Sus scrofa: one gene and its partners. The protein of the gene in region 7 purifies or fractionates together with the protein of the main gene of each other region. This does not show direct contact. Links are inferred from orthologs where the notes say so. Each region holds a gene or a part of one and is shown on either strand. Other genes may lie near its edges.

What was found.
Region 1: the proteins of WDR5 (region 7) and RUVBL1 purify together in Homo sapiens (affinity purification with mass spectrometry; 3 studies listed by BioGRID and IntAct, with this or other methods). This does not show direct contact. The link is inferred for Sus scrofa from reciprocal best matches to the Homo sapiens genes WDR5 and RUVBL1.
Region 2: the proteins of WDR5 (region 7) and H2AFZ purify together in Homo sapiens (affinity purification with mass spectrometry; 3 studies listed by BioGRID and IntAct, with this or other methods). This does not show direct contact. The link is inferred for Sus scrofa from reciprocal best matches to the Homo sapiens genes WDR5 and H2AZ1.
Region 3: the proteins of WDR5 (region 7) and PAGR1 purify together in Homo sapiens (affinity purification with mass spectrometry; 5 studies listed by BioGRID and IntAct, with this or other methods). This does not show direct contact. The link is inferred for Sus scrofa from reciprocal best matches to the Homo sapiens genes WDR5 and PAGR1.
Region 4: the proteins of WDR5 (region 7) and CCT4 purify together in Homo sapiens (affinity purification with mass spectrometry; 3 studies listed by BioGRID and IntAct, with this or other methods). This does not show direct contact. The link is inferred for Sus scrofa from reciprocal best matches to the Homo sapiens genes WDR5 and CCT4.
Region 5: the proteins of WDR5 (region 7) and BOD1L1 purify together in Homo sapiens (affinity purification with mass spectrometry; 4 studies listed by BioGRID and IntAct, counting the BioPlex papers as one, with this or other methods). This does not show direct contact. The link is inferred for Sus scrofa from reciprocal best matches to the Homo sapiens genes WDR5 and BOD1L1.
Region 6: the proteins of WDR5 (region 7) and HDAC3 purify together in Homo sapiens (affinity purification with western blotting; 3 studies listed by BioGRID). This does not show direct contact. The link is inferred for Sus scrofa from reciprocal best matches to the Homo sapiens genes WDR5 and HDAC3.

Annotation. Positions count from the first base shown.
Region 1 is NC_010455.5:72,199,008-72,203,180, forward strand, and holds the start of RUVBL1 (ruvB-like 1), read left to right. Parts: upstream 1-1,373; 5' UTR 1,374-1,559; coding exon 1,560-1,700; intron 1,701-4,173. UniProt on the Homo sapiens protein: Possesses single-stranded DNA-stimulated ATPase and ATP-dependent DNA helicase (3' to 5') activity; hexamerization is thought to be critical for ATP hydrolysis and adjacent subunits in the ring-like structure contribute to the ATPase activity.
Region 2 is NC_010450.4:120,562,433-120,566,523, forward strand, and holds H2AFZ (histone H2A.Z), read left to right. Parts: upstream 1-1,319; 5' UTR 1,320-1,504; coding exon 1,505-1,507; intron 1,508-1,950; coding exon 1,951-2,028; intron 2,029-2,310; coding exon 2,311-2,424; intron 2,425-2,762; coding exon 2,763-2,892; intron 2,893-3,169; coding exon 3,170-3,231; 3' UTR 3,232-3,591; downstream 3,592-4,091. UniProt on the Homo sapiens protein: Variant histone H2A which replaces conventional H2A in a subset of nucleosomes. Nucleosomes wrap and compact DNA into chromatin, limiting DNA accessibility to the cellular machineries which require DNA as a template.
Region 3 is NC_010445.4:18,051,230-18,055,478, forward strand, and holds the start of PAGR1 (PAXIP1-associated glutamate-rich protein 1), read left to right. Parts: upstream 1-1,449; 5' UTR 1,450-1,925; coding exon 1,926-2,407; intron 2,408-2,569; coding exon 2,570-2,652; intron 2,653-4,249. UniProt on the Homo sapiens protein: Its association with the histone methyltransferase MLL2/MLL3 complex is suggesting a role in epigenetic transcriptional activation. However, in association with PAXIP1/PTIP is proposed to function at least in part independently of the MLL2/MLL3 complex.
Region 4 is NC_010445.4:79,930,838-79,934,337, reverse strand, and holds part of CCT4 (T-complex protein 1 subunit delta), read right to left. Parts: intron 2,007-3,500; coding exon 1,898-2,006; intron 1,317-1,897; coding exon 1,174-1,316; intron 655-1,173; coding exon 533-654; intron 173-532; coding exon 40-172; intron 1-39. UniProt on the Homo sapiens protein: Component of the chaperonin-containing T-complex (TRiC), a molecular chaperone complex that assists the folding of actin, tubulin and other proteins upon ATP hydrolysis.
Region 5 is NC_010450.4:9,240,923-9,244,422, reverse strand, and holds part of BOD1L1 (biorientation of chromosomes in cell division protein 1-like 1), read left to right. Parts: intron 1-2,163; coding exon 2,164-2,354; intron 2,355-2,824; coding exon 2,825-3,439; intron 3,440-3,500. UniProt on the Homo sapiens protein: Component of the fork protection machinery required to protect stalled/damaged replication forks from uncontrolled DNA2-dependent resection.
Region 6 is NC_010444.4:143,277,422-143,280,921, forward strand, and holds part of HDAC3 (histone deacetylase 3), read right to left. Parts: intron 3,296-3,500; coding exon 3,222-3,295; intron 3,069-3,221; coding exon 3,004-3,068; intron 2,673-3,003; coding exon 2,547-2,672; intron 1,568-2,546; coding exon 1,478-1,567; intron 1,355-1,477; coding exon 1,296-1,354; intron 1,049-1,295; coding exon 969-1,048; intron 659-968; coding exon 501-658; intron 1-500. UniProt on the Homo sapiens protein: Histone deacetylase that catalyzes the deacetylation of lysine residues on the N-terminal part of the core histones (H2A, H2B, H3 and H4), and some other non-histone substrates.
Region 7 is NC_010443.5:273,563,279-273,566,778, reverse strand, and holds part of WDR5 (WD repeat-containing protein 5), read right to left. Parts: intron 2,964-3,500; coding exon 2,855-2,963; intron 2,758-2,854; coding exon 2,684-2,757; intron 2,371-2,683; coding exon 2,281-2,370; intron 2,156-2,280; coding exon 2,066-2,155; intron 1,956-2,065; coding exon 1,872-1,955; intron 1-1,871.

The DNA of each region.
Region 1 (4,173 bases), on a different chromosome or scaffold from region 7:
ATATATAAGAATAAACAAAAAGAAAAAAAAATGTAACAGCTCTGGCAGAAGGGGAGTTGGGGGCCAAAAGTTTCTATTTACTGACAGAAACCATAACCACATCCCATAAAATCTAATATGTAAAATACGTGCAGCAAAACTGCATGACTGTGTGTGTATGTGGAGGTCTAGAACTGTACTGAATTTATAAGGAGACTTAATTGTGAGCCAGACCATGTGCCTGACACTGGGGTTAAAATGATGTGCAACGCAGATGTGGTCTACATTTTCGTAATGCCTGCAGTTTAGAGGGAGAGACTAATATTGACCCGATAATTTGCAAATAATTAGGAAACTAGATTCAAATGTTACCATGGAGAAGTTCAAGGAGATTTGAGAATCCAGAACTACTGCAGCTGGATTTGGCTTCAGGTCTGTCTCAAGCCTAATGCAAGCTTCTCTGAGCTCTGGGCAAGTTCCTTCCTTTCTCTGGACCTGAGTTCACTCATTTGTAAAATGGTGACATACCATCTACTCCTGAGGGTGTTACCCTTCTCTCAGGGTTAGGTCTGGACATTATCATCTCATGGTGCCTTCCTTGGCTCTCCACCTGTTCCACGTGGCCCTGCTTGGGCTTGCATTCCTCATGTTGTAAGTTTCCCACCTAAGATCTGAGCTTGTCAAGGCTGGAGATTTTGTTTTGATATCTGCATCCCAGTGCATTCTCTTGTCTGGCTCACAGCAGGTGCTAACAAATGTTTGTTGAATGACTGTGTGGCCAATGGAGCACATCCAAAGGGCGAGTGTCAATATCATCATGGAACCAGACATGACAGGCTGCTAGATGATTGTCTCATCTGAGGTCATGGGCTGGGATGAGGGTTACACAGGCTGCAAAGCCTTAAGTCCTCAGCTGGAGTTCCAGCTCTGCTGATTATGTGCTGTGTGTTCTTGGGCAAGTTACTGGGCCTAATTTAGCCACATCTTTATCTGTATTAGGAGTTACAGTATCTTACAGGGTAGTAGAGTTTTGGGGACATAAAACGCCACTCACAGCCAACTTAATTTAAGTAAAGAGAGGTGGCGAGGAGAAGCAGAGGACAGTTGCACAGAGGATGCTCAGCACTGCTTCCCCAGGGGAGGAAAGGCTTGGAGGTCAGCAAACTGCCTAGTGAACACAAGCTTAAGATCTAAACCTGTTTTTTCATCTCCAACACCGAGGTGGAACTTGGGCTCTGCATAAGGGTATGTGTTTGGCTGCCATCACCAATGGCAGTACGGTAAAGGGCAGGATTCGGCCCGGGTTTTGTGCAGCACCCCTCTCTTCCCACCCAGGGAGGAAGCGCTCTCCGCGGGGACACAAACCCTGGGACACAGCCGGAAGTGGGTGGGCGGAGCCTCCCCGGCAGCTGCGAAGGGCACGGCCAAGAGCCAGTGGGAGGTGAAGGCGTTCCCGCCGCGGCCAATGGAGCGCCGACCGAGGCGGACCTGGGCCAACCGCCTGGTAACGGCCGCGTGGTTACTGGGCACCCGGTGTGAGCTCTCAAGGCTCCGCGGGTGTTCGCGCTCAGGTGTGCAGGATGAAGATCGAGGAGGTGAAGAGCACGACCAAGACGCAGCGCATTGCCTCCCACAGCCACGTGAAGGGGCTAGGGCTAGACGAGAATGGTCTGGCCAAGCAGGCGGCCTCGGGGCTCGTGGGCCAGGAGAACGCGCGTGAGGTGTGGCAGTGGGCTGGGGGCGGGGGCGCTGAGGCGGGGGCTGAAGGGCTGAGTTGGGCGCTGAGGTGGACACTGAGGCGGGGCCGAGGGGCTGAGGCGGGCCCGGAGGGCGGGCCGAGGCGGGGGCGTCCCCAGGCAGGACGGTCCTGGCGGCCTTGTCTCTGGCCGGCGAGTCTTGAGCGACCCTGCCCTGCGCGGTCGGCGCGGCCAGGGGATGAGCGGGGAGGAGACGGGCCAGGTCCCTGTACTCCGGGGGCTTGCATTTCGGATGACAAACGTTGACGCCGGGGAGCAGAAGGACCGTTAGACGTAGGTGGGCTCCGAGGGCCCTGGCACGGGTCGGGATTTGTGCGGTCAGAGGGAAGCTCTGGGGGCTTCAGAGTCGGGAAGGGATCGGGCTGAGAGCGCGGGAGTTCCAGGGCCCGCGATCCGCTCTCCCGCCCCGCCAGCCTCCTTTCTGACCATTCCGTTAAGTCCGCTGTTAGTAAATGATGAAGGTGCCGAGTCGGCTCTCCTGCGTTATACTCACGAAACTGTTCAGCGTGGGAGCGGGCACGTCACCAATCCACTTGCCGCCCAGTTTAGCGATGGTAACGCTGGAGTTTATACCCGTGTGTTCTGACTCCTGAGCCCGCGCCCCCTGAGCTGGTACAGCCCCCAATAAGTAGTCTCTGCTCTCACGGCAGCCCCATGCCCTTGGCCTCTGCCGTGGCTTAGCAGCTATAAAATTGGAGTTTAAGACTGGTTCCTTCTGGCCTCATTGTGCTAATAGCAAAGGCCAAAGAGAAGCCTCTGGTTACTTTTTTGAACATCCTCTGCCAAGAGAGGATATAGCAATAGGGTCAAGGTGACTGAAAATTCTCTTTATCCAGCTTCTGCTCACTGAAGACCTGTCACTGTAAATAACTGACATTGTCCAGTGCTTTCTACCTGCCAAGCACTGTACTTAGCAGCTCCTTTTCCATTGTCTAATTGTCACCTCCATTCTAATAAGTGTCTCTCCTCCATTTTATTATGACTTTTCAGACATACAAAGAAGTTGAAAGATTCGTTTAGTGCATACCTGTGTGCCTAAGTTCTACAAGTAACATTTTACTCTGTTGCTTTATCTTATATCTGCTCCTTTATCCATCTAGCAATCTGCTTTTGCATTTCAAAATAAATTGTAGACATTAGTATACTTTACCATAAACCTGTTGGCATTTGTGCCACTATATTGTGAACTCTTTTCAGATGTGGAAGTTGTTTCACAGAGTTTACGTTATAGATTTGAGGTCATTCAACTGGTAATTGGTAGAGCCAGGATTTTTTTTTTTTTTTTTTTTTTTTTTTTTGGTCTTTTTGCCACTTCTAGGGCTGCTTCTGGAGGTTCCCAGGCTAGGGGTCTAATCGGAGCTGTAGCCGCTGGCCTACACCAGAGCCACAGCAATGCAGGATCCGAGCCACGTCTGCAACCTATACCACAGCTCACTGCAATGTCAGATACTTAACCCACTGAGCAAGGGCAGGGATCGAACCCGCAACCTTATGGTTCCTAGTTGGATTCGTTAACCACTGAGCCACGATGGGAACTCCCAGAGCCAGGATTTAAACTCAAGTCCATCTGATTCCAGAATCCATGGTCTTAACGCTGATGCTCTGTGCTTCCATGTGAGTATGATCTTCCCAAAGGTAGAGATTGGGTAGTATTATATATCCAGAACCTGACTTATTATAGGGACTGAGTGTTTATTTATTGAATTATTAGTTGTCCCATCTCTGCTACCAGGTCCTTGTTAGAGTCTGGTCACCTCAGAAACCTCTCTAGTGTTTAATGAAAAAAATTAGGTCGTCTTTTAAAGACCCTTCTGGTTTATACCTTCTATTATTATTATTATTTTTTTTTTTGTCTTTTTTTGTTATTTCTTGGGCTGCTCCCGCAGCATATGGAGGTTCCCAGGCTAGGGGTCGAATCGGAGCTGTAGCCACCGGCCTACTCCAGAGCCACAGCAACTCAGGATCCGAGCCTCGTCTGCAAACTACACCACAGCTCACGGCAACGCCGGATCTGTAACCCACTGAGCAAGGGCAGGGATCGAACCCGCAACCTCATGGTTCCTAGTTGGATTCGTTAACCACTGCGCCACGACGGGAACTCCTGGTTTATACTTTTAAAATTTTAGAATTCATTGGACATATCACTGGAGAGAAGGAGCCTAAACTGAGGATAGTTAAATGGAAGAGGTTCTAGTGTGTGAATAAGAGTACACAGATAAGGTTTGGAAAGTCTCTTCTACGTCTTTTGAATTGCTCAGAGAATTCCAATACTGAGGAGTATGATATTAGAGATTACTATGGAAAGGTCATGGTGGCTCTTTCATCTTTTCTTTCTTTCTTTTTGTGGGTTTTTTCTTTTTTCTTTTTGTCTTTTTAGGGCCACACTGACTGACAGCATATGGAAGTTCCCAGGCTAGGGGTTGAATTGGAGCTGCAG
Region 2 (4,091 bases), on a different chromosome or scaffold from region 7:
GGGTTCTTTAGCGCCAAGCCACAACAGGAACTCCCAATTTTTTAATTTTAAAATTAACAGCAAATTTCCAAAAAAACTTGATAAAACTTTCAGATTGAAACCCAAACTACAGTACTAAAGAGTATATATTTCAAATTTTCTTAATGTCAGAAATACTGAATTATGTTTATAACGTAATTACTGTTAAAACTCCAAGTATGAAAGATTTGGATCACTACTGTCTCCAAGCAGCTGGACGTGTACAGAGGTGCTATTAATCTATTAGTTGGAAAATTAAGTAGCTGGCATTATGATAGTACTGTGTGTACAGTACTATTTTTTTAAGCCCATCATTTGCATTTGATTACATGGACCATCTGTAACTGCCTGTGAATCATATGAGGACATTTACCGAACATTTGTCAAGTAGCAAAATGTTTAGCATAGAAGAGTTGACACATAATAGCCTTCATGTTTCACTAAATCAACTTTAGAAGCCAGGCTATAGGTACAACCCACAGACGTGTAGTCTTTAGAAAAATATGATTTGATTAAAGAATACCGCCTCAGCCCAAGCCTTCAGTGGGTAGACCAAAAGGTCTTTTATGACCAGCGAGGTGACTTTGCTTCACCGTCTTTTCCATGAAACTGTTCTGTTGGGGTTGGGGAGGTAGGGGGTTCAAAAAGTCCTGAGAAAAGAAGAGGAAGGAGATACAGCTGAAAAAGTGGGAGCAGAGGGTCGTGATGAATCGGTGGCTGGGCACTTGCCTAGGAGGAACAAACGCGAAATCACTACCCAGACTATGGTTAGCGAAGGAGTCGGGGCGCCTTTCACTGGACGCCTTCGCGCCACCTGTCAGACCGGAGGTGTCAACGGGAATGCAGGGGGGTCGGTGAAGGTACCCCGTGCTCCGGAAGAAGGCTGCGGACAGGCGGGTCTCTGCCCGCCAGGTGTTCTAACGGGGCGGAGGCGGAGGGAGGGCAGGGCAGGAAGGAGGGAGTGCTAGTCCCCGCTTTCCGAGGTCTCTGGAACCGAGCAAGGAGGCAAAGGTGGAATAGGGGGCAGCTACTGCGTGCCCCTCCCCTGAGCCTCTCAGCTCCTCCCTCCAGGCACGTGACTAAGCCGGCGGGTGCCCTGCTCAAGCAGCGTAGCTCGCTCTGTTTCTTCCCTCCCGCCGCTGTGCCCTTCTTCTCCCGGGTTCCCATCCCTCCGTTCTCCCCCACCTCCTTCTCATGCCCCAATAACAGCTCGAGCTGCAAAGCGCCCGCCCCTCCGCCCTTTTCTTCGCTTGCTCATTGGCTGAGACTTCAAGGACGCGGCCCGAGGGCGGGTGGCAGCCATTGGTGGGATGAGCAATCCGAGTTCCCGGATGAGGGAACATTCTGCAGTATAAAGGGAGCGGGGAAGGCGGGAGACAGCGCAGTTTGAATCGCGGTGCGACGGAGGAGTAGGCGGCGGGATCTCGCTTGGTGACTGACTAGTCCTTTCTCTGCCTTGCTTGTTTGAGCTTCAGCAGAATTCGAAATGGTAAACTTCGCGGAGGCGCTCGAAGACTACGCGGGTTTTTGCCGGCAGGAGAAAAACCCGTTACACACGGAGATGGGGGTGAAGCGGTGACGGTTGGGAACGCGCGGAGAGAGGATGTGGAAGAGCGGGGGGAGGTGTTTTGTCGGCGGCGAGCGGAGCAGCCTCCGATCTCGCGGCGGGCGGCGACGGTTGGGTGGCGCGCGCAGCGCCGCTGGGAGCCGGAGGGCGGTGAGCGGGCGGCCTGAAGCGCGCGGCCGCGGCGGGCGCGCAGCGGGGGGCAGGCGGGCGGGGTCGCCCTTGCGGCGCGCGGCGGGCCGGAGACCCCGGCTGGGCACCGGGCCCCGCTCGCGCCCGGGCCGCCCCGCGGTGGGGGAGGGGCGCGCCGCCTTGGTAATCCTGTATTCTGCGTTCCTTCTTCGCTCGCGGGCGTGTGCGCGCCGCAGGCTGGCGGTAAGGCTGGGAAGGACTCCGGAAAGGCCAAGACAAAGGCGGTTTCCCGCTCGCAGAGAGCCGGTTTGCAGGTCAGTGGGGGTTTCTGCTGTCTGGGAATCGCGGCGTTTTTCTCTCCTTTTTCTCTGTTTATCATTGCACTAGATGAGCTTTTGGTCTTTGCGTGGTGATGGTGTCGGGACTTGGTTTACCGATACAATAAATATTGGGGAAGGGGGGGCGATCACGTGTGGCGATGCTAGGGCGCGTTGCTGCATCAGCCTCCGTGCCCCTTGCTTTGGCGCGCGTATAATTTGACCATTTTTGGCTCCTCTATCTTTGTGCATTTGTGTTTGTGTATGCGAAAAATGAAGTTTCCGGTGGGCCGTATTCATCGACACCTGAAATCTAGGACGACCAGCCATGGACGTGTGGGCGCGACTGCCGCTGTGTACAGCGCAGCCATCCTGGAGTACCTCACCGCAGAGGTAAATGGGTGTACGCCTGTAATCTGGAAAAGGTGGTGGGGGGAGGCGGTGAGAGGGAAGGAGGAAAGTGATGCAAGAAAACTCCCAGGCTCTGAACGCGGTGAGAAGCTTCTGACAACGCTAGAGGGGGCTGGTGTTCATTTTGGGTTCCTCCTGAGCTTGAGTTGACTGCTTTAGGAAATAAAATTGCGTGTCCCCTTTATAGCTTTTGCATATCTTGCCATTCAGGTAGTGGGGGGAGACGGCAGTTGGTAGATACACGTTCACGAAGGTTTGATTCTTCTGGATCTTGATCCTAAGGAAAGTTGGCAGGAGATTGATTAGATTCTGTCTTCTAGGTACTTGAATTGGCAGGAAATGCATCAAAAGACTTGAAGGTAAAGCGTATTACTCCTCGTCACTTGCAACTTGCTATTCGTGGAGATGAAGAATTGGATTCTCTCATCAAGGCTACAATCGCTGGTGGTGGTATGTAAATACTAAAAATTTTTTAATTTCTTTAGATAATTCTTTACTTTTTTCCCCCACTAGAAGAGGACACTTAGTGTTATTTTCAGTGATCTGTAGTATGGTTGCATCATGAAAATTGATTCCTGTATATAACTTAGTGAATTTTTACTTCTGCATACTCTGGCCTCACATTTAAAGACTTCTTCGAAGTTGAACGTTAAACTGTCATGGTTTTGAAGTCCTGTGTTAATTTTCAAAATAATGTATATTTAAAAGTATCCCTTTCCTCCCCTAGGTGTCATTCCACACATCCACAAATCTCTCATTGGGAAGAAAGGACAACAGAAGACTGTCTAAAGGATGCCTGGATTCCTTATTATCTCAGGACTCTAAATACTCTAACAGCTGTCCAGTGTTGGTGATTCCAATGGACTGTATCTCTGTGAAAAACACAATTTTGCCTTTTTGTAATTCTATTTGAGCAAGTTGGAAGTTTAATTAGCTTTCCAACCAACCAAATTTCTGCATTCGAGTCTTAACCATATTTAAGTGTTACTGTGGCTTCAAAGAAGCTATTGATTCTGAAGTAGTGGGTTTTGATTGAGTTGACTGTTTTTAAAAAACTGTTTGGATTTTAATTGTGATGCAGAAGTTATAGTAACAAACATTTGGTTTTGTACAGACATTATTTCCACTTCGGTGGATAAGCTCAATAAAGGTCATATCCCAAACTAGTTGTGTATTAAATTCACTTGATTATGATGGGAACAACTTTTGTTTTGAATAACTATCTTATCCAGCAATAACTTAATAAGCACGTTTCTTACCTTGAAATTAAAATGTTAATTTTGTAGATCAACAAACCTCGAAGGCTAAAGCATATATATATTTTTTAATGCTATGAGATGAACTATTAAAGATTTTAAAACTTCAGTAGGAGCTTGGAACTGGACAAGGTGATGTTTTTTAGGTTAAATTTGATCATCTCAATTTGTCGCTGCACTTGCTGTTTGTGACAGCAGCACTACATCCAGAGCACTGTCATGGACTGGGGCAGGTAGGGAAGTTCTGTATATTGCTACCTCCACAGAAGGTACTTTCAGTATAAACAGTGAAGTGTTTCCTGTGTTCTCCCACTGTTTCAAAGGCTACCTGGATTAAACTGTTCAGTATGCACCATCTAATCCCGTTTTTACAGAAAAGAATCAAGGTTGGAG
Region 3 (4,249 bases), on a different chromosome or scaffold from region 7:
TGCATTCCAAGACTTTTTTTTCCTGTTGGGAGCTGCCTTGGGCCCATCCTCCCCTTTGGGGGGGAGCCCAATCCATGGCCCAGGCCCGCACCCATAGGGACCAATGGAGCCTGAGCAGCCTTGTTTACAGCTTCTTTCCTGCTCCTGCATCCTGCCAGGCTCCTCTGCCAACCGTAGGCCTCCCTGTTCCCTGCTCTGTGTCCAACCTCCCTGCACTTTTGCCTGCCTCCCCTTCAGCCTCTTGGCTTCCCTACCCCTGCACTTCTGGAAACCTCCCTGCACTTCTGGAAACCTCCTTGCACTTCTGGAAACCTCCCTGACCATCTCCCAGACTCTCTTTGCTCTCAGCCTTCCTGCATCTCTTGCGGCCTTCCTGCACTACACCCTCCCGAGTCCCCTGCACCTCATCCCGGATCTCCATTTCCCAACTTTTTATTGTCTCAGCATCCCCCCCTCCCCCCCCTCCTCTCTTCCTTCCCTTCCTCATTCATCTCCTCTTCCCTCTCCACACCCTCCACCCCCTTCCTCTTCCTGCCTCCTCATCTCCCCTCTGCATCCTCTCCTCCACCCTCCTCCACCGTTTATTCTGCAAAAACTCCAGCACTTAGATCAGGCTGGGGGAGGGGAGCGGTGTCTGGAGAGGGCTCCCTAGCCCGGGCTCGCGACTGTTCTCTGCAGGGACTACCCAGGCCCAGACACCCCCGGGGTGCCTCGGGGTCGCAGAGCTGGCAAGCCGGGCCTCGTTTGTAGATTTGTGCAGGGGTGGCGGGTACTGTTCCGAACAAGCACCTGGTAGAAGGGAGGGGCGAGGCTCTCGAACCCTCCCCGGTCGGCCCGAGCTGACCTGCCCCGCCTGGGCTTTTTAACCCAGTCGGTTTGTTAAAGGCGTCGCGGCTGGAGTCATTCACGTGCTTTGTAACTGTAAGAACAGAAAAAATTGGACCAAAGCTCCCAGCTGCAGGGAGCAAAGAAGGGGCGGAGAGAGCTGCGATTATTTTCTAAGAGGACGAGAGAGGTTTGTTGCACGCGACAGTTCACTGGGGAGGCAGGGTCTGAGCCACAACGCGGTTCGGAGTTGGTTTGGTTTTGGTTTTTTTGTGTTTTTTTTAATATAAAAAAAAGCGTAGGGAAAAAACCTAAAAGTCTTTAAAAAAAAAAAAAAAAAGGATACATCAAACTGATTCTCCCTTTTTGTATGCCGGATGCTGCATGAGTCTGAAACACCAATAAACGGAGACTGCATGATACTCGCCTCCAGCCTCAGTTGGTCCTTACGTGCCTGCGCCGCGGGGCCGGAGGTACAGCCTCCTTTGGGGCACAACCTACTAGGTGATTTGCGCATGCGCCACCCCCGTGGCCATCTTTACTGTGGGCCGAAGCCTATCGTTCCCGAGCGCCTACCTGCGCATGTGCAAGCCTCCCCTTGCTTTCCTCTCCCAAGTAGCTTTGACTAAAGCGGAGCCTCCCGCGCCGTATCTGTGCGCCTGCGTACTTTGACCCTGCGCGGCCCGGGAGGCGGGTCTTAGCTCCAGGTGCGTACGGCCGCTGAGGTGGGGGACCTTCGAGGTGTGGGGAGAGGACGCCGCATCCAGGTGTAGAGCGGCGTAGTGCGGAGGCGAGAAGAGCGGGTCCGCCCGTCTCCGGCCCGGAAAGTGGTTTCTGCCGCTCGCTGGAAACCTCGGAGTACCGGATCTCGATCTGTGGGGGGCGGGGTCCTTGGAGGGGACTGAGCGCCCCCTCCTGGGAACCGGTGGTCTGGTCGCGAGACCGCTGTTGGAGCCTGATTGGTTAGCGAAACAGTCCCCGAACCCCGGGGTGATCCCTTTTTTTGGGAGGGAGTGGAGGGAGGGAGGGGGCGCGGGGGGAATCCCCGGCTTGGTACTCCTGCATCTCCTGGCATCGCTGGGCCCCTTCCCTAGTGGCTTATGTCCCTTGTCCGGGGTCATGGAGACACGGCAGCCACCGCGGCGGCGCCTCTGTCTGAAGAAGGGGAAGTGACCTCCGGCCTCCAGGCTCTGGCCGTGGAGGACACCGGAGGCCCCTCTGCTTCGGCCGATAAAGCCGAGGAAGAGGGGGAAGGAGGCCGGGAGGAGGCCGAACATGAGGGGTCCAGGGCCGAGGAAGTGCAGGGAGAAGCCCCCAGCACTGAGGGGGAAGAGCCCGCCCAGGGAGACTCCGAGGACTGGTGCGTGCCCTGCAGCGATGAAGAGGTGGAGCTGCCTGAGGATGGGCAGCCCTGGATGCCACCTCCCTCCGAAATCCAACGGCTCTATGAACTGCTGGCTGCCCACGGTACCCTGGAGCTTCAGGCAGAGATCCTGCCCCGCCGACCACCTACGCCTGAGGCCCAGAGTGAAGAGGAAAGATCTGATGAGGAACCCGAGGCCAAAGAGGAGGAAGAGGAAAAGTGAGGATTGCTTCCTTGATGCCAGGAGGAAATAGGGAGGGAGGTGGGACCCAGGAGCATGGGAAGTTAGAGGGAGGGGAAGAGCCCGAAGGCCCGGGAGAAGCACCAGTGGAGGTTTGGAAGGATCTCCCTCACCCTCCTCTCTCTCTCCACCTGTCCCAGGCCGCACATGCCCACAGAATTTGATTTTGATGATGAGCCAATGACACCAAAGGACTCCCTGATTGACCGGAGGCGCACCCCAGGTACAGACAAGAGTGGAGAATGGGGGGCGCGGGGGGGCCTCTGTTCCCACTTACTCCGAAAGGGACTCCCTGAAAGAGGTCTTTGAGGCGTTCTCTGATGGCTTAGTGGCAAAGGACCCAGCATTGTCACTGCTTTGGCACAGGTTCGAACCTTGGCCTGGGAACTTCCACATTCCATGGGTGTGGTCAAAAAAAAAAAAAAAAAAAAGGTCTCTGCTTGGTTCCTTGGTAGCTACACAAATCACAGCTTCAGGGGAGAGCGTGCACTCAGTGGTTGCCATCCTTCCAGTCTAGGTGGTACCCAATTTTCTTTTAAAAGATTATCACAGGTAATTCTATCATATTTCCCATTCCTTTGGTCTCATTTCCCCCCCACCCCCATCCCAGAAGTCCGAGTCTTCTTGGTCATTATCTAGCTCCACATCCCTATGCTACTGCGTACACCTCCTAATCTGACCTAGCTTCCCATGCCTAGAGTTTACCGTCAGAGCCATTCTCTCTCTCTCTCTTGTGTGTGTGTGTGTTTAGGGCTGCATCTGCGGCATATGGAGGTTCCCAGGCTAGGGGTCAAATCAGAGCTATAGCTGCTGGCCTACACCACAGCCACAGCAACATGAGATCTAAGCCACATCTGGGACCTACACCACGGCTCATGGCAACACCGGATCCTTAGCCCACTGAGTGGGGCCAGGGATCGAACCCGAATCCTCATGGATACTAGTCAGGTTCGTTAACCTCTGAGCCAAGACGGGAACTCCTCTCAGAGCCATTCTTGATTTCTCTTTCTTTCTTTTTTTTTTTTTTTTTTTGTCTTTTGTCTTTTTTTGTTGTTGTTGTTGTTGTTATTGTTGTTATTTCTTGGGCCGCTCCCGCGGCATATGGAGGGTCCCAGGCTAGGGGTCTAATGGGAGCTGTAGCCGCCAGCCTATGCCAGAGCCACAGCAACGCGGGATCCGAGCCGCGCCTGCAACCTACACCACAGCTCACGGCAACGCCGGATCGTTAACCCGCTGAGCAAGGGCAGGGATTGAACCCGCAACCTCATGGTTCCTAGTCGGATTTGTTAACCACTGCGCCACGACGGGAACTCCCGATTTCTCTTTCTTTTATGTCAACATTCAAACCAGCAGCAAGTCTTGTTAGGTCTGCCTCCACATTTCCAAATTCAGCTACTAGTCTCTGTCTTTAATGTGACACCCTGATCCAAGCCGTCTCTCTTTCAAAACATAAGTCAGCTCAAATCTGTTTTAAATTTTTTTAAATTATTATTATTTTATTTTTAGGGCCTCAAGTGTGGCAAATGGAGGTTTCCAGGCTAGCGGTCCAATTGGAGCTGCAGCCCCTGGCCTACACCACAGCAACACGTGATCCGGCCACATCTGCGACCTACACCACAGCTCACGGCAACACTGGATCCTTAACCCACTGAGCAAGGCCAGGGATCGAACCTGCAACCTCATGGTTCCTAGTAGGATTTGTTGCTGCTGTGCCACGACAGGAACTCCCAATTCTGTTTTAAATTCTCCGAAGGAGGAGTTCCTGCTTGGTGCAGTGGATTAAGAATCTGATTGCAGTGACTTGGTTCACTGGAGAGGGA
Region 4 (3,500 bases), on a different chromosome or scaffold from region 7:
CCAAACACACAAGCAACCATTTCATTTAGTTTTACTTACATCTGTTTTAGGAGCAGATAAGCAGAACTGAATAAGCCCAATCTTAGCCTTTTCAACTCTGGTTATGCCAGAATTTGCCACTTTCTGAGTAAGAACCAGACCTTCTACCAACTCACAGTCATCGATTGTCCCACTTAAAGAAAAAAAAAAAAAAAAAAAAAAAAGAAGAAGGAAATGAGATAATTAAGAGGGAGGAAATCTGCAAGTTTAGTAGAACACCTTAAAAATCATCAGTAATTTAATTATCAGTGATTAAAATGTGCTTTAGCCTCATTCACATTTCTAGTGCCCATTCCTGAACCACACTGCCCTGCCATCATTAGGAATGTAAATAAATTCTTGAGATTCCCACATTAATACAAATTGCTATGCAAACAAAAACCAAACTTTTGTGACTTTCTAGGTGGTTTCCATTTAACTTATTTTTGCCAACAACCAATATTACTTTCGAAATCGATTTCTATTAATTAAAGCTGTAATGAGAGATACTTACCCAAGTTTCTTAACTATTTTAATATCTCTAAGATCTACACTAGTAGCTGTGGCTGGGTCAATCACTTTCATCACTGCATTTACACTCATTGGAGAAAGGAGACTTGAATACTGAGACACAACCTAGAATTATTAAAAAACAGAATCAGTGTCACAACAGAAAAAGCCCTATTACTTTATAATGATAAAAATATTCGAGAAGTAATCTCAATCACTTTTGGGAGAGCATAAGAGAAAACATTCTATATAAACTGTCTTTTCTATTCAGGTTTGCTGAAACCAGGATACAAAATTAAAAATATATGCTCTCAATTCCCTGGGGGCGGGGAATGGTTAAGAATTCGGTGTTGTCACTGCTGTGGCTCATGTCAGATCTCTGGCTGGGGAATTCCTGCATGCCATGGCCAGAAAAAAAAAGAACAAAGAAAACTTGCATTTCTCTCTTATTAATATGGTACTCAGTACTCAGGACTAACCAGATTACTCATAATCCTATAGAAAATTAGTTTAGTAACATGGTCACTCTTGAGAAATAACATTTATAAACTGTCCAGCATCAATAACCACAGCATAAGATTTGTATGTAATTCTTAATGAACCTTAAATTATAATTTTACTATGATCTTTCAGTGCTGGTCTCACCTTTGAGTTCAACGACGTGGTGGCACTATTCAACAAGGTATCTCTGTCACTAAGTTCCACAGGTCGAGACATGTCAGTCAAGATTTCAATACCCTTTTCCAGAGCCTTCTGGAATGACTCAGAAATGATGGTTGGATGAATCCCTGCCATTTATGAAGGACCACTTATTTAATTGTAACAGACAAATTTCATATTTGACATGACTTAAAATTTCTCTATTCATTAACATTTCAAAGCAGTAAAATTCTCAATTATTTAAAACTATAATTTAGGCTTCAGTTATAAACATAATGGCTTTTATAACCTTAATCACAAATAGTCCTAATAATTTACTTCCATTTAATTTGGTATAGATTAGTTACATACTCATGTGATATTTGAGACTAAAACCAATTTCATACTTTTCAAAACTCTACAAATCTACATAAGTAGAATAATTGACCAGAGAGTCACTACTACGTCTAAAAATTATTTACCAAATCAAGAACCCATATTATATCCCAAATCACAGTTCTCATCTATACCCTAAATTTTATCAAATTCCATTCAAAAGGAGACCTAGAAAAAGAAAACATTTTCTAACTCACATAATACGGTGAAATTTAATCTAAAAATTTCTGATTAAAAATTAGCTGTTCCAAATTAAATTTTAAATCAGATATTACTTAGCAACTTCTTGCCTTTATTCAGTAATATAAAGCATGTTCCAAGTCTTCTTACCTACCTTTCTGAAGAAGCTTCGTACAGGAATCTAAAAGAGAGCCAGCAATGATGACCACCGAAGTGGTGCCATCTCCTGCTTCTATATCCTGAGCCTTCGACAGCTCCACCAGCTAAGTGAACAGAACATCAGGTTGCTCAATCAGAAATATGAAAACTCAGTAAAACCTAATTCAAATATAACTTCAATGACCTTCACATCAGTTTCACATATAAAACTTTATTATCAACACTGTAAGATTCAATATACTTGACTTTTGATTTGCTGTCCACCTTGGTTTCATTTAAAACTGACCTACTAGAGTTCCCATCATGACTCAGCAGAAATGAATCTGACTAGAAGGTTCAGGTTTGATCCCTAGTCTCATTCAGTGGGTTAAGGATCCAGTGTTGTGAGCTATGGTATAGGGCACAGACTCAGCTAGGATCTGGAGTCACTGTGGCTGTGACTTAGGCCATACCTAAGCCCCTAGACTGGGAACTTCCAATGCCAAGGGTGCGGCCCTAAAGAGACAAAAAAACGACAATAAAACTGACCTATATATTTGTGACACACATAATTCTTATATATTTTTTCTCTAAGTAGCTCTATTATGATTTCCATTCCAGACTATAGTTTGTAAATTTTTTCCTTGAGCTAGCTACTCAAAAGGACAATGGATAACTTGCAGACTCAGAAGTTATGAAATGTAACATTCAGAGGAGACTGTCAGTTTGGAATCCTTCCCCAAGCTTATCTAAACTGACCCTGCATTATGCAAATTAAGATTTTTTTTTTTTTGCTTTTTAGGGCCTCATCCACAGCAAATGGAAATTCCCAAGCTAGGGGCTAAAACTAAGCTACAACTACAGCAACAGGTCTGTGACCTACACCAAAGCTCACAGCAACACCAGATCCCTGACTGCCAGGGTTTGAATCCATATCCTCAATGACTTAGTCATTTCTGCTGAGCCATGTGGGAAACTCCAAAAGGGACTTTAACATAAATTTATTTTTTTTTCTTTTCATGTCTTTTTAGGGCCACACCCGGAGCATACAGAAGTTCTAGAGTTCCTGTCGTGGCTCAGTGGTTAACGAATCCGAGTAGGAACCATGAGGTTGCGTGTTCGATCCCTGGACTCGCTCAGTGGGTTAAATAAAATAAATTTATCTTGAAAAAAAAAAAAGTAGTTCCCAGGCTAGGGGTTGAATGGAAGTTGTGTCTGTGACCTATACCACAGTTCACTAGGACACTAGTTGGGTTTATTACCAATGAGCCACAATGGAAACTCCTTAAGAGGAATTTCTAAAGAATATTTGTTTTTGCTGCTACAGTGACTTCTCACTTGACATTGGAATCATCATTATGATCCACAGTTGAATTAAAACCTGTTTTTAGGATTTCGTGTCATGGCTCAGCAGTAATGAAACCAAATAGTAGCCATGAGGATGCAGGTTCCATCCCTGGCCTCGCTCAGTGGGTTAAGGGTCTGGCATTGTCGTGAGCTATGTAGGTCACAGACGCAGCTAGGATCCTGCTTTGCTGTGGTGTAGGCTGGCAGCTATAGCTCAGATTCAACTCCTAGCCTGGGAACTTCCATATGACACTGTGCGGCCCTAAAAAGCA
Region 5 (3,500 bases), on a different chromosome or scaffold from region 7:
AAGTCTGTTGTCTATGTCTGTGAGTCTGTTTCTGTTTTGTACATAGGTTCATTTGTGCCATATTTTAGTCCTCACGTATGTGATATCGTACGGTACTTGTTTTTGTCTTTCTGACTTTCTGCACTTAGTATGATAGTCTCTAGTTGCAAGCCTCTGTTTTTTGAGGGTTTTTTTTTTTTTTTCCTTTCTTTTTTGGCCACCCCACAGCACATGGAGCTAACCAGCCAGGGATCAGATACGAGCCGCAATTGCAACCTACACTGCAGCTATGTCAGCACTAGGTCCTTTAACCCACTGTGCTGGGCCAGGGATCGGACCTGTGTCCTGGCGTTGCAGAAATGCCACTGATCCCGTTGCACCACAGCCTTCACTTTTAAGATCAGAGCTGACCACTGTTAAGAGTGGACTGAAGTACACAAGGGCCCAGAACATACGCATCAAGAAAAGAGACCGAAGCAGTGTTTCGGAGGTGGATGTTTATTTTTTTATTTTGTGCCTTTGTGCTTAATTAAGCCTTAATTCAGAACATTTTTCAGATTGCTTGTCCTTGCTTCTTTTCCACCCGCTACTTTTTAAAGGTACCTCTAAGATGTAGCAATGCTTACAGGATTTGCTTTTTTTTTTTAATCTTAGAACTTTAGAAAGGAGGTTACCTACTTTGTGCAGTGTTGACTCATTTTTCTCTATGGCCCACATAACCTACAGTATCCCAGGGCTGCAGTATGCTTCAGGAAACAAAAACCACACCCATCCTCCACTCCAGACAGAGCTGCTCTCAGAAATAGCATTGTGAGGTGTAAGGAGAGACACCTCCCTCATTCTCCAGGGAGCCGGAGGCCTTGAAGCTGAAAAGGACCAGCACCCAACCCTCCCAGCACTGCCCAGGGATCTGTGGCTCCTCAAGTTCTTTGCTAGAAAGAAACAGGGTTAAAGTGCATTTCTTAAATTCATGTCCTCTTATTTTGTTCAGACGCCTTTGTGATTTCTTGTGCGTTTTATACTTGGTCATCTGCCTCTTAAATATATTTCCTTGGGCACTTTCTTCTCCTTCTTTTCTCTGGAAATCAAGATGCAAGTTAAATGTCTTCTTTGTGAAGCATTCCAAATTACTTCAGACATAGCTTTTAATTCCTCATTCTACTCTTTTCCAACAGTGTATGGTGTGTCCTAGTTCCTGTTGTCTTGCATTTTAATTGTGTCTTTCCCACCAGAACAGGGACCAGGTCTGTTTTGTAGCAGCTGAGGCTAGAATGGTGCCTGCTGTATAGAAGGCACTCATAACATAATTGCTGAGGAATAAGTCATTTATTTTTATAGCAAGCAGGTAATAAAAAGAACACCAGAAGTCATAAGTTTTATTTTTGTTCCTCTAAAGTTTTCTTTTTTTTTTTTTTTCTTTTTTTGGAAGCTTTATATTCTGTTTTCCTGGAGACCCTAATACTCATAAAAGGCTTACATTTTTCTGCTTAAAGAAAGTGGGGAGGGGGAAGTCCATAGATTTGTTTTATACTCAGAACTCAGCTTTAGTGACTTTAATCCCATCTACCATGGGCAGAATTGAAGTAAGGTAAGCATCATGTATAAGCCTGGCCTTTAGATAGTGTGCTATGTCTAATTCTAAGGCTGTTTTGTTTCTGTTTTGTCTGCTTTAGTATTTCCACTAGTGACATGGTGGTGAGAAGTTTACATGTTTTTTTGGCACTGTGGTATATTAAATGCCACTGTAGTATGACTTTTTTTTTTTTTTTTTTTTTTTTTGTCTTTTTAGGGTCACACCTATGGCATACAGAGGTTTCCAGGCTAGGGATCAAACTGGAGCTGTAGCCGCTGGCCTACTCCACAGCCATAGCAGTGCCAGATCCGAGCCGCATCTGTGACCTACACCACACAGCTCACAGCAACGCCAGATCCTTAACTCTCTGAGTAAGGCCAGGGATCAAACCTGCATCCTCATTCAGGATACTAGTCTGGTTTTACTGAGCCACAACAGGAACTCCTGAAACTTACTTTCCATTGGGTGTTCTTTGTGGATTTCCAAATGAATGGATTGGAGGCAACTTAATGTTGAACATCCGTGTAATAGATTCAGCTTTACTTAAAAGTAATAATACAAGTAGTATAGAATAATTTTTTTACCTTTCTGTAAATTATCCTGTGTTTCAGATCAGGAATGTTGGAGTCTGGTATTGACCGAATTATTTCTCAGGTTGTGGATCCAAAGATCAACCACACCTTCAGACCTCAGGTGGAGAAAGCAGTGCATGAGTTTCTGGCCACGCTAAATCACAAAGAGGAAACAGGTGGCAGCACAGCACCTGATGATGAGAAACCAGACTCTTCCGTCATTACACAAGGTGCTTTGCTTTTGCTCTTGGTCAGTTCCATTGCTTTTCTTCTTGAACTGAGTATCAAGTTAGGGGTGTTTAGTTCTTTAAATCATCTACTTGGTCACTCTAGTGAAATCGTATTTACTTTAATTATCACCCAAATTCCTGAGCAGACATAATATTTCTTTTTTTTAAATAATAGGCATTTTAGCAATGTAGTAGGGGTACATGTGTGTGTGTTTCAGTAGAAGGGATAATTAAAATAATTAGAGAAAACACTCTTTTTCTGGGAATTATTCTCACATTTGCATGGTGCCTTTCCTAAGATACTGTATTAGAGAAGTAGAGAATGGAGAATGTGTTAGGTTCCAATACCAGCACCTGAAAGTCTAAAGGCATATGTGTCGTATAAGGATGCCAGTGGTGAGTGGCCTTGATTCAGCAGAGGGGTTTACCTTCAGCATAAATTTATTTTAGACTGTGTCTTTCCCTTGAAGGTGTCCCTGCCCCTGGGCCCAGTGCAAACGTGGCCAGTGACGCCATGTCAATCTTGGAGACCATCACCTCTCTTAACCAAGAAGCTAGCGCTGCCAGGGCTTCAACAGAAACGTCAAATGCCAAGGCCTGTGAGAGAACATCCAAAAAACTCCCATCTCAGCCAAGCACTGACACTGGTGCCGAGAAGGAGAGAACTTCAGAGGATGCGACTGAAAAAGAAAAACCTACACCTGACTCTGCAGGGGAAGGACAGGAGACAGCCCTGAAGTCAGAAGAACTTAATGATCTCCCAGGTCCAGTTGAAGAAAGTAAAAATCACACTAAAGAGAGCAATAGTTCAGTTCTGCTAAATAAAGATGTTCAGCAAGAAAGCAGTGACCCAAAAAATAAATCAACAGACAAAGGTGAAAAGAAAGCAGACAGCAGTGAAAAGGGAGAAAGAAAGAAAGAAAAGAAGGAGAAGACTGAGAAGAAATTGGATCACTCAAAAAGGAGTGAAGATGTACAAAAAGTGAAAGATGAAAGACAAACAAAAGATAAAGATGCAGAATGTTCAAAACTTCCTTCAGAAAAAAACAATAGTAAAGCTAAAACTGGTGAAGGGACAAGAGAAGGTAAAAACTTAGAAAAATCTGCAGGAGTTTGAAGAACACTGAGTGTCCACTGGGGGTACAT
Region 6 (3,500 bases), on a different chromosome or scaffold from region 7:
ACAGGCTGCAACTACAGCTCCGATTCAACCCCTAGCCTGGGAACCTCCATGTGCCACAAGTGTGGCCCTAAAATGCAAAAAAAAAAGAAAAGAGAAAAGGAATATTGTGGTGCAGTGGGTTAAGAATCCAGTGTTGTCACTGCGAGGCCTGGGTCACTGCCATGGTGCGGGTTCGATCCCTGTCCTGGGAACTTCCACATGATGCAAATGTGGCAAAAAAAAAAAAAAAAAAAAAAAAAAAGATGCAAACTGAACTATTAACATTGGTTTCTTTGTGAAGTGAGTCTGGGATTGTGTGAAAGCAAACTGAACATGTTTTGGTGCTGTTTAAAATTTTTCCAATAAACATGTGTTACGTTGTTAAAAACAGCAAAAAAAAAAAAAGTGTGGGATTGCCACACACCACAGGAGGTAATAAGCCAGGGACAGTTGACCCTCTGACTGACTTTTTCCCTTTTAACCTTCCCGGAAAGCTTGCTGTCGGGTCCCTGCCCTCAGACCTGCTGTAATTCTCCTCGGGGCCCCTCTCCTCGGCGTCGGCCTCGTCAGTCCTGTCGTAGGTCAGGAGGTCTGCGGGCACGTCGTGAATCTGGACGCTGGGTGCGTGGTTCAGCATCTTCAGGTTTTCAAAGATTGTCTGGCGGATCTGGTCCAGATACTGGTTGGGGATGAGGAAGAGTCAGTGAGCAGCTCCCGGGGACCGCAGGACATCCACGCTTCTAGCTGCCTTTCGCCCGTCATGTCCAGAGTTTCAATCCCATGTCGCGTCTGAGTTCGCGTCCCCGGCTGGTAACTGCCCCTCCTCCCAACTCTGCCTTCACTTTAACCCAAGCTGCTGCCCAGCTGCTAACAGCGGAAGGATGGCCGAGAACCTTCCTCTCCGCTCTGGATTTTCTGACTTCCCACCCCCGGGATGACTCCTGGCGCCCCCCACCACCCGGGCTGCTCGGCTTCTCCAAGCTGCTGACCTGGCGTGAGTTCTGATTCTCAATGCGGGTGCTGACGTCTGGATGGAGCGTGAAGTCCGGGGCAAAGTACTCAAAGTATTCTTGGGGGGAAAGGGGATCAGGAGGAGACATTAGGGCTCAGACAGAGACAGGTTCCCGAGACTTCCCAGTCTCTTTCCTTCGTATCCAAAACCCTTACGAAATAGCTACCCGAGCTCTGCTCTGGGCTCGTGTTTAGTCTGCAGAGCTCTGAGAAAGTCCAATTTCCCACCTGCTTTCAGACCAGGCCATTCTGGGGTCTTGCAAGAATGGCCTTCCTGGTGCGGGGGCATCATGGGGTGTCCTTACCACTATAGGGGAGCTCCTCGCTTATGGCCTCTTCCACCAGCAGTGATGTCTCATACGTCCTGAAACACCACCAGGGCAGGGCCGGCTGAGCCAGGGGGCTGAGGGCCCCACCTGCCCATCCCTCGGGAAGCCCCCTGCTCACACTGGACAAGGGGGAGGAGGAAAATCGGGGCCGTGCTCACCAGCAGCGGGCGACGTTCCGGACCGTGTAGCCGCCGCCCCCGAGCACCAGCAGAGGGATGTTGAAGCTCTTGACGTATTCGACGCACTCGCTGTTCAAAGGAACCAGAGGGATGGGTGGGGGGAGTTCCCAAAAGCCCACGGGTTTGCTTCTAGACACTGACTGCAAAGGGCACAGGACACTAGAAACGCTGTATCCTGAGCTAGGGACTGAAAACCACGGAACTCTACCCCCGAGACATGTGCGCTTGATTATACACTTTACACAGAGGTTGTGTCTCAATACAAATGTTCAAAGAGCGCACCCTCCCACCTCTGCCCGGCTCAACACCCACCCAGGCACCCCATGTGGTAGTCGACTGTTCTCACCAACGCGCCAGCCCGTGCTGGCAGTTCCGCCACCGAAATACATCTCAAATCATCTACTTCTCTCCACTGCCACGTCCTCCAGCTCAGCCTCCTGCCTAGACCACACCGCCAGCTTCCTAAGTGGCCTTCCCACGCCCACTCCTGTGCGCCCACCCCAAACCTTTCTCCATGCAGCAGTCAGAGCAGTCGCTTTAAAACACGAGCTGACTGACCAAAAAGGTTGGAGGCGGGTTGGTTCTCTTGTTTTGAAATAATAACTAAGATTGAGTCAAATGATCTTTGACAATACTTAAAATCTGGAGGAAAAGTTCTGAAAAGTACTGAATCCTTTATGTCTTCAAATCTTGTTACAAATGTATACAGAATATATAAAAGAAGAAATCCCTATTGCAATGTTAAAAAAAATAAAAAATAATAAATAAAAAAAAGCACACGCTGGACCGTACCACTTCTCTGCTTAAAACCTTTCGACAGTTTCTCATCATGTCTGAAATATAATCCAGACCCCTCCCAGGGTCTAAACGCTCTGCACAACCCCACTGAGGCCGGCCTGTCGGACCTCAGGTCAGACCGCCTCCAGCGTGCGCGCCCTGTGCCTGCCTGCTGGTCTTCCCTCGCCTCCTCCGCTGCACCGGCCCTTCCCTGGCTCAGACCTCTGCGTGGGCTCGTCTCACTGCTCAGGACAGAGCCCTCTCTGCTCACCCCTTTGGGCGTCCAGGTCTCAGCTCAGATGTCCACTCCTCAGAAAACTCTTTCCAAACCGCATTATCTAAACAAAGTAGGTTCTCCACGGTTATCCCGGGTCTTCGCTTCCTTCTTCCTTCGGGACTGTACAATGATCTAGCTGTTCTGTCTGCTTACGTGTTTGTTGCCAGCTTCCTACGCTCAACCGTGAACTCCACGGGAGTTTCCCCCCTGCATCCCCATCTCCTGGTGCAAGGCCTGGAGCGCAACAGGTACTTAAGAGAGAGCTACCGTGGCTGAATGGCCAGCGGGGGAACACTGCTCAAGGTCATCTTTCTAGTTCAAAGCACAATGTGTAGATATATTTTGAGTCCCAAGAGGCGGTGAAGCCTATGCCCCAACTACCCCCATTCCATGTGTTGAGGCCCAGAGCCATTTGAAGACCTGGGGGGAGGGGAAGGAGGGCAGGTCTCACCCGTGACCTCGAATGCTGAGGTTGAAGCAGCCCAATCGATCACAGCCCAGGGAGTCGGCTCCGCACTGCGAAAAGCAAAAGCAAACCGCAGGGGGCTGCAGTGAGATGCCGGCTCAGAATGTCACAGAGGCCCTCACCGCCCATCCCCCAGCAGCCTGGGGACTCCCGCCTGCCTGCTCTCTGTCCTCAAGGCCAGGGGGCAGCACCGATAGAATTACCTGGAGCACAATGCACGTGGGTTGGTAGAAGTCCACCACCTGGTTGATGACTGGCTGGAAGAGGTGCTTGTAACCTGGGAGAGGGCCAAAGATGGGCGCCTGGCACCCCAAGGGGATGGGGAGACAGGGAACAAGAGGAAAAGGGGCTTCAGAGAGCGTGTAGCCCAGGAACCTCGGCTTCTCCACTTCTGGGAGGCTCCGATGAACTTCTGGAGCAACTGAGGGCAGCTAATGACCCTTTTCCCAGAAAAATGCACATACACACATTACGCTGCACCC
Region 7 (3,500 bases):
GCTGAATGTTCCAACGGCAACCCCGAAAAGGCGCCACGGAAGTCAGGGGGGTGGCGAGACAGAGTCGCCCACATGGGGACAGAATCTTGGCTCTTGGCTCAGACGATCGGCCGACTCTCGGGGGCGACACCAGCAGACAGATGAGCAGGTGAGACAGACGGCAGGAGGCTTCAGCTGACTACTGACATGGGGGGCAGAGGGGGTGTCCAGGCAAGAGGACAGCAGCTGGACTAAAGCAGGCAGAGGCCAGCAGACAAGCCACTGACCCAGAGGGTTCTAATCCAGGCCCGTCCATCAAAGGCTGACCGTAGGAGCCGCGGCACTGCCCCGACACCTGCCTGCAGACAGGGAGGCGGCTGCATGACAAGGACACACACTGCACTCCTTTCCACAACACGAGGGTTACACACAGCACCCACCACCCAGCCGGGAGCCTGCGGGCAAGAGGTGGACAGGCTGGAGATGAGCGGTGCTGGACCACGGCTGTCTGGCATGGGCAAGGGCGCTGGGAAACATGTTTTTGTAAAACACCAAACCACCCCAGAGGGCAGAGGCCAGCTGCTGGCAGGTGCCTCTGAGGGGGGGGAGTCGGGAGACTCTGAACTGCTACCTGCTACATTGCTTGCCTTTTTTTTCCAAGTCAGCACACATAACTTTCCTAAGAAACAAGACTTTAAGGGAGTTCCCGTCGTGGCGCAGTGGTTAACGAATCCGACTAGGAACCATGAGGTTGCGGGTTCGGTCCCTGCCCTTGCTCAGTGGGTTAACGATCCGGCGTTGCCGTGAGCTGTGGTGTAGGTTGCAGACGCGGCTCGGATCCCGTGTTGCTGTGGCTCTGGCGTAGGCCAGTGGCTACAGCTCCGATTCCACCCCTAGCCTGGGAACCTCCCTATGCCGCGGGAGCGGCCCAAAGAAATAGCAAAAAAAAAAAAAAGAAAAAGAAACAAGACTTTAAAAATCCTACCACCATTTAAGCAAACGTCCCATTCCTGACCACAAACCATAACACAGACAACTTTCAACCACCAGCCGTCGCTCCAACTACTTCCCGGTTACTTCCTGTGTCATCGTTTGCGCGGCCTGTTTGGAGGGCTGCACCCCACCGTGGAGGAGAGAGGAGCAGGGGGCCCCAGAGCCCATCACCCAGGGCTCCCTCTCCACAGCAACCGCCTCCCTAGGAGCCCCAGGCACTGGCTGTGACACCGACGGCGAGGGCTGGGCCTGAGGGCCAGCACCGGGCCAGCGACTTCAAACAGCCAGTGTCTGTGCCCTGAAGGCTCGGGGCTCTGCGGACGGTCTCGGCTGGACAAAGGCCTTCCAGGGCTGAACACGTAAAACTGCTCGCCTGCACAATGTCAGGACCTCCAAAGGACCAACTGCTCGGTGACATCAAACAAGCTGTTTACACGTGACTCCTTCCACCTCTCCAACGTAAACTTGGCTAAAAAACCACTTCAGGCTCTCTGCTCACAAAGAAATACTTTGGCTTTTTTTTTTTTTTTGGCTGCGCCCACAAAGTAGTTGGGTGGCACACAGACGTTCCCAGGCCAGGCATCGAACATGCACCACAGCAGCGACCACACCAGGTCCTTTACTGCCGGGCCACCAAGGTACACCCTACCTCAGCTGTTTTGCAACCGAGCAATTCAGACAGGTGTGCAGGTCAACCCCTGCACCTGCACTGAGCGGTCCGGGAGCGGCAGGCCCCGGGACCCTCCGCTCAACAGCGGCACCGCCACGGCCACAGCTCCCTCGGGAGGCCCCTCTCCAGGCCGGCCGCCCGGCCCGTGCTGTGAGGCTCCGCGGCACCCCCCACCCCCGGGCCCGGGCCCAGCTCGGACGCTCGCCCGGCGCCGCCGTTGGGGACTCACGGCTGAGACGGGATCCGAGTGCGCGGGCAGCGTCTTGAGGCACTTCCCTGTCTTCACGTCCCAAATCCTCACGCTCTCGTCGAACTGAAGACGAAGGAAGAGGTGACAGCGGGGCCCCGGGAGGGCAGAGACCAGACCCCTGGGAGGCCCGCGCCCCCGGCCCCGCCAGCCGCCCCGCAGAGCCGGCCACTTACGGAGCCCGAGACGATGAGGTTGGACTGGGGGTTGAAGTTACAGCAGAAGACGTAATTACTGTGTCCCTTGAGGGTCTTCAGACACTTCCCCTGAAAGCGAGTGCCGTCGGCCTAAGTCCTTCCCGGCGTTACCTGCCCGACACCGGCCTCAGGCTGAAGCCGGCAGCACCCCCGCCACCCCCGCAGCTGGAACGGAGGGAGACCCCGCCGCTCACCGAGCTCACGTCCCATATCTTTAGGGTCTTGTCATCTGAGGCAGAAACGAGAAGGTTAGAGTCTGACGACCAGGCCACGTCTGATATTCCCTGGGGGCGGAAACACACAACGGGGCTGAGCCAGCAAGAGCTACATGCCGGACACGCAACTAAAGACCCCCGGCAGGTGGCCCCGCCTGGAGCCCCTCGGCTCCCGCTGGCCCCCGGCCTGGGCCTAGAGCCTGCCCTCCGTGGCGCCGCCAGGCCTCGCCGGCGGGCAGGCCGAAGAAACAAGAGGCAAAAAAAAAATAAACAGGAGGCCAAAATCGGGGGTGGGGGGGGGCTGAGCTCTTAACCGGACAAGCCCGCAGAAGGGCCCCCACTCCGCCCAAGAGTGACCGCAGGGTACAAGGCTGACACCTACCAGCTTGTGACCAGATATGGTTTTCTCAAATTTTCCGTCGTAAGCTCCCCAAATCTTAATGAGTTTATCTGCAGCTGAAAGAAAGGGAGACACAGCAGTGGCGGCCTCCGGCCCTGGGAAGCCAGCCCTCGGCTGCCCGGGCTCCCCGCCGCCTCCAGACCGGACACCTACACGAACTCGCCAGCCACTCCCCGTTCGGGCTGAACTTCACCGAGGACACAGCTTTCGTGTGGCCGGCCAGGGTGAACTTCAGCGCGTAGTTGGGTTTAACAGGTGTGGGCTGTGAAAGGGAGCGGAGCAGTCAGCCAACAGCAGCCAGCGCTGCCCAACCCCGCCGGCGACGGGCGGGGTGCGACCGGGGTCCCAGGGCCTCTTTGCCAGCTCGCCCTATCGTTTGACGGTGCCCCTAGAACTCCCACCTGTCCCCGTGTCCCCTTTCAAACACGCCTACATCTGAACGCGTTCTCCCCTGGCAGACCCTGCCTGTCCTGCAGCCCCTGCCGCAGACGCCCCGCCACCCGGGCTCAAATCCTGCAGCCCCTCCAGGCAGCGGTCCCCCACCCGCCCCTGAGGACTTGCCCCCTGGGGTCTGCAGGGGGGCTCTGCCCTGCAGCCGGGGGGGGGGCTGTTCACCAAGGGACAATTTCTGGGCCCCACAGACTCTTACAGCGAGACCAAGGATCTATATTGTGGATCAAGCCCCCTCCCCAGGGGGCAGGTTGGGGATCCTGGACGTGCCACAAAGTACGCACTGGCTGGGAATGTGGTTTTGAGTGAAACGGGTGATGTTTTAGGAGGGAGAAAAGACTTATGGGCT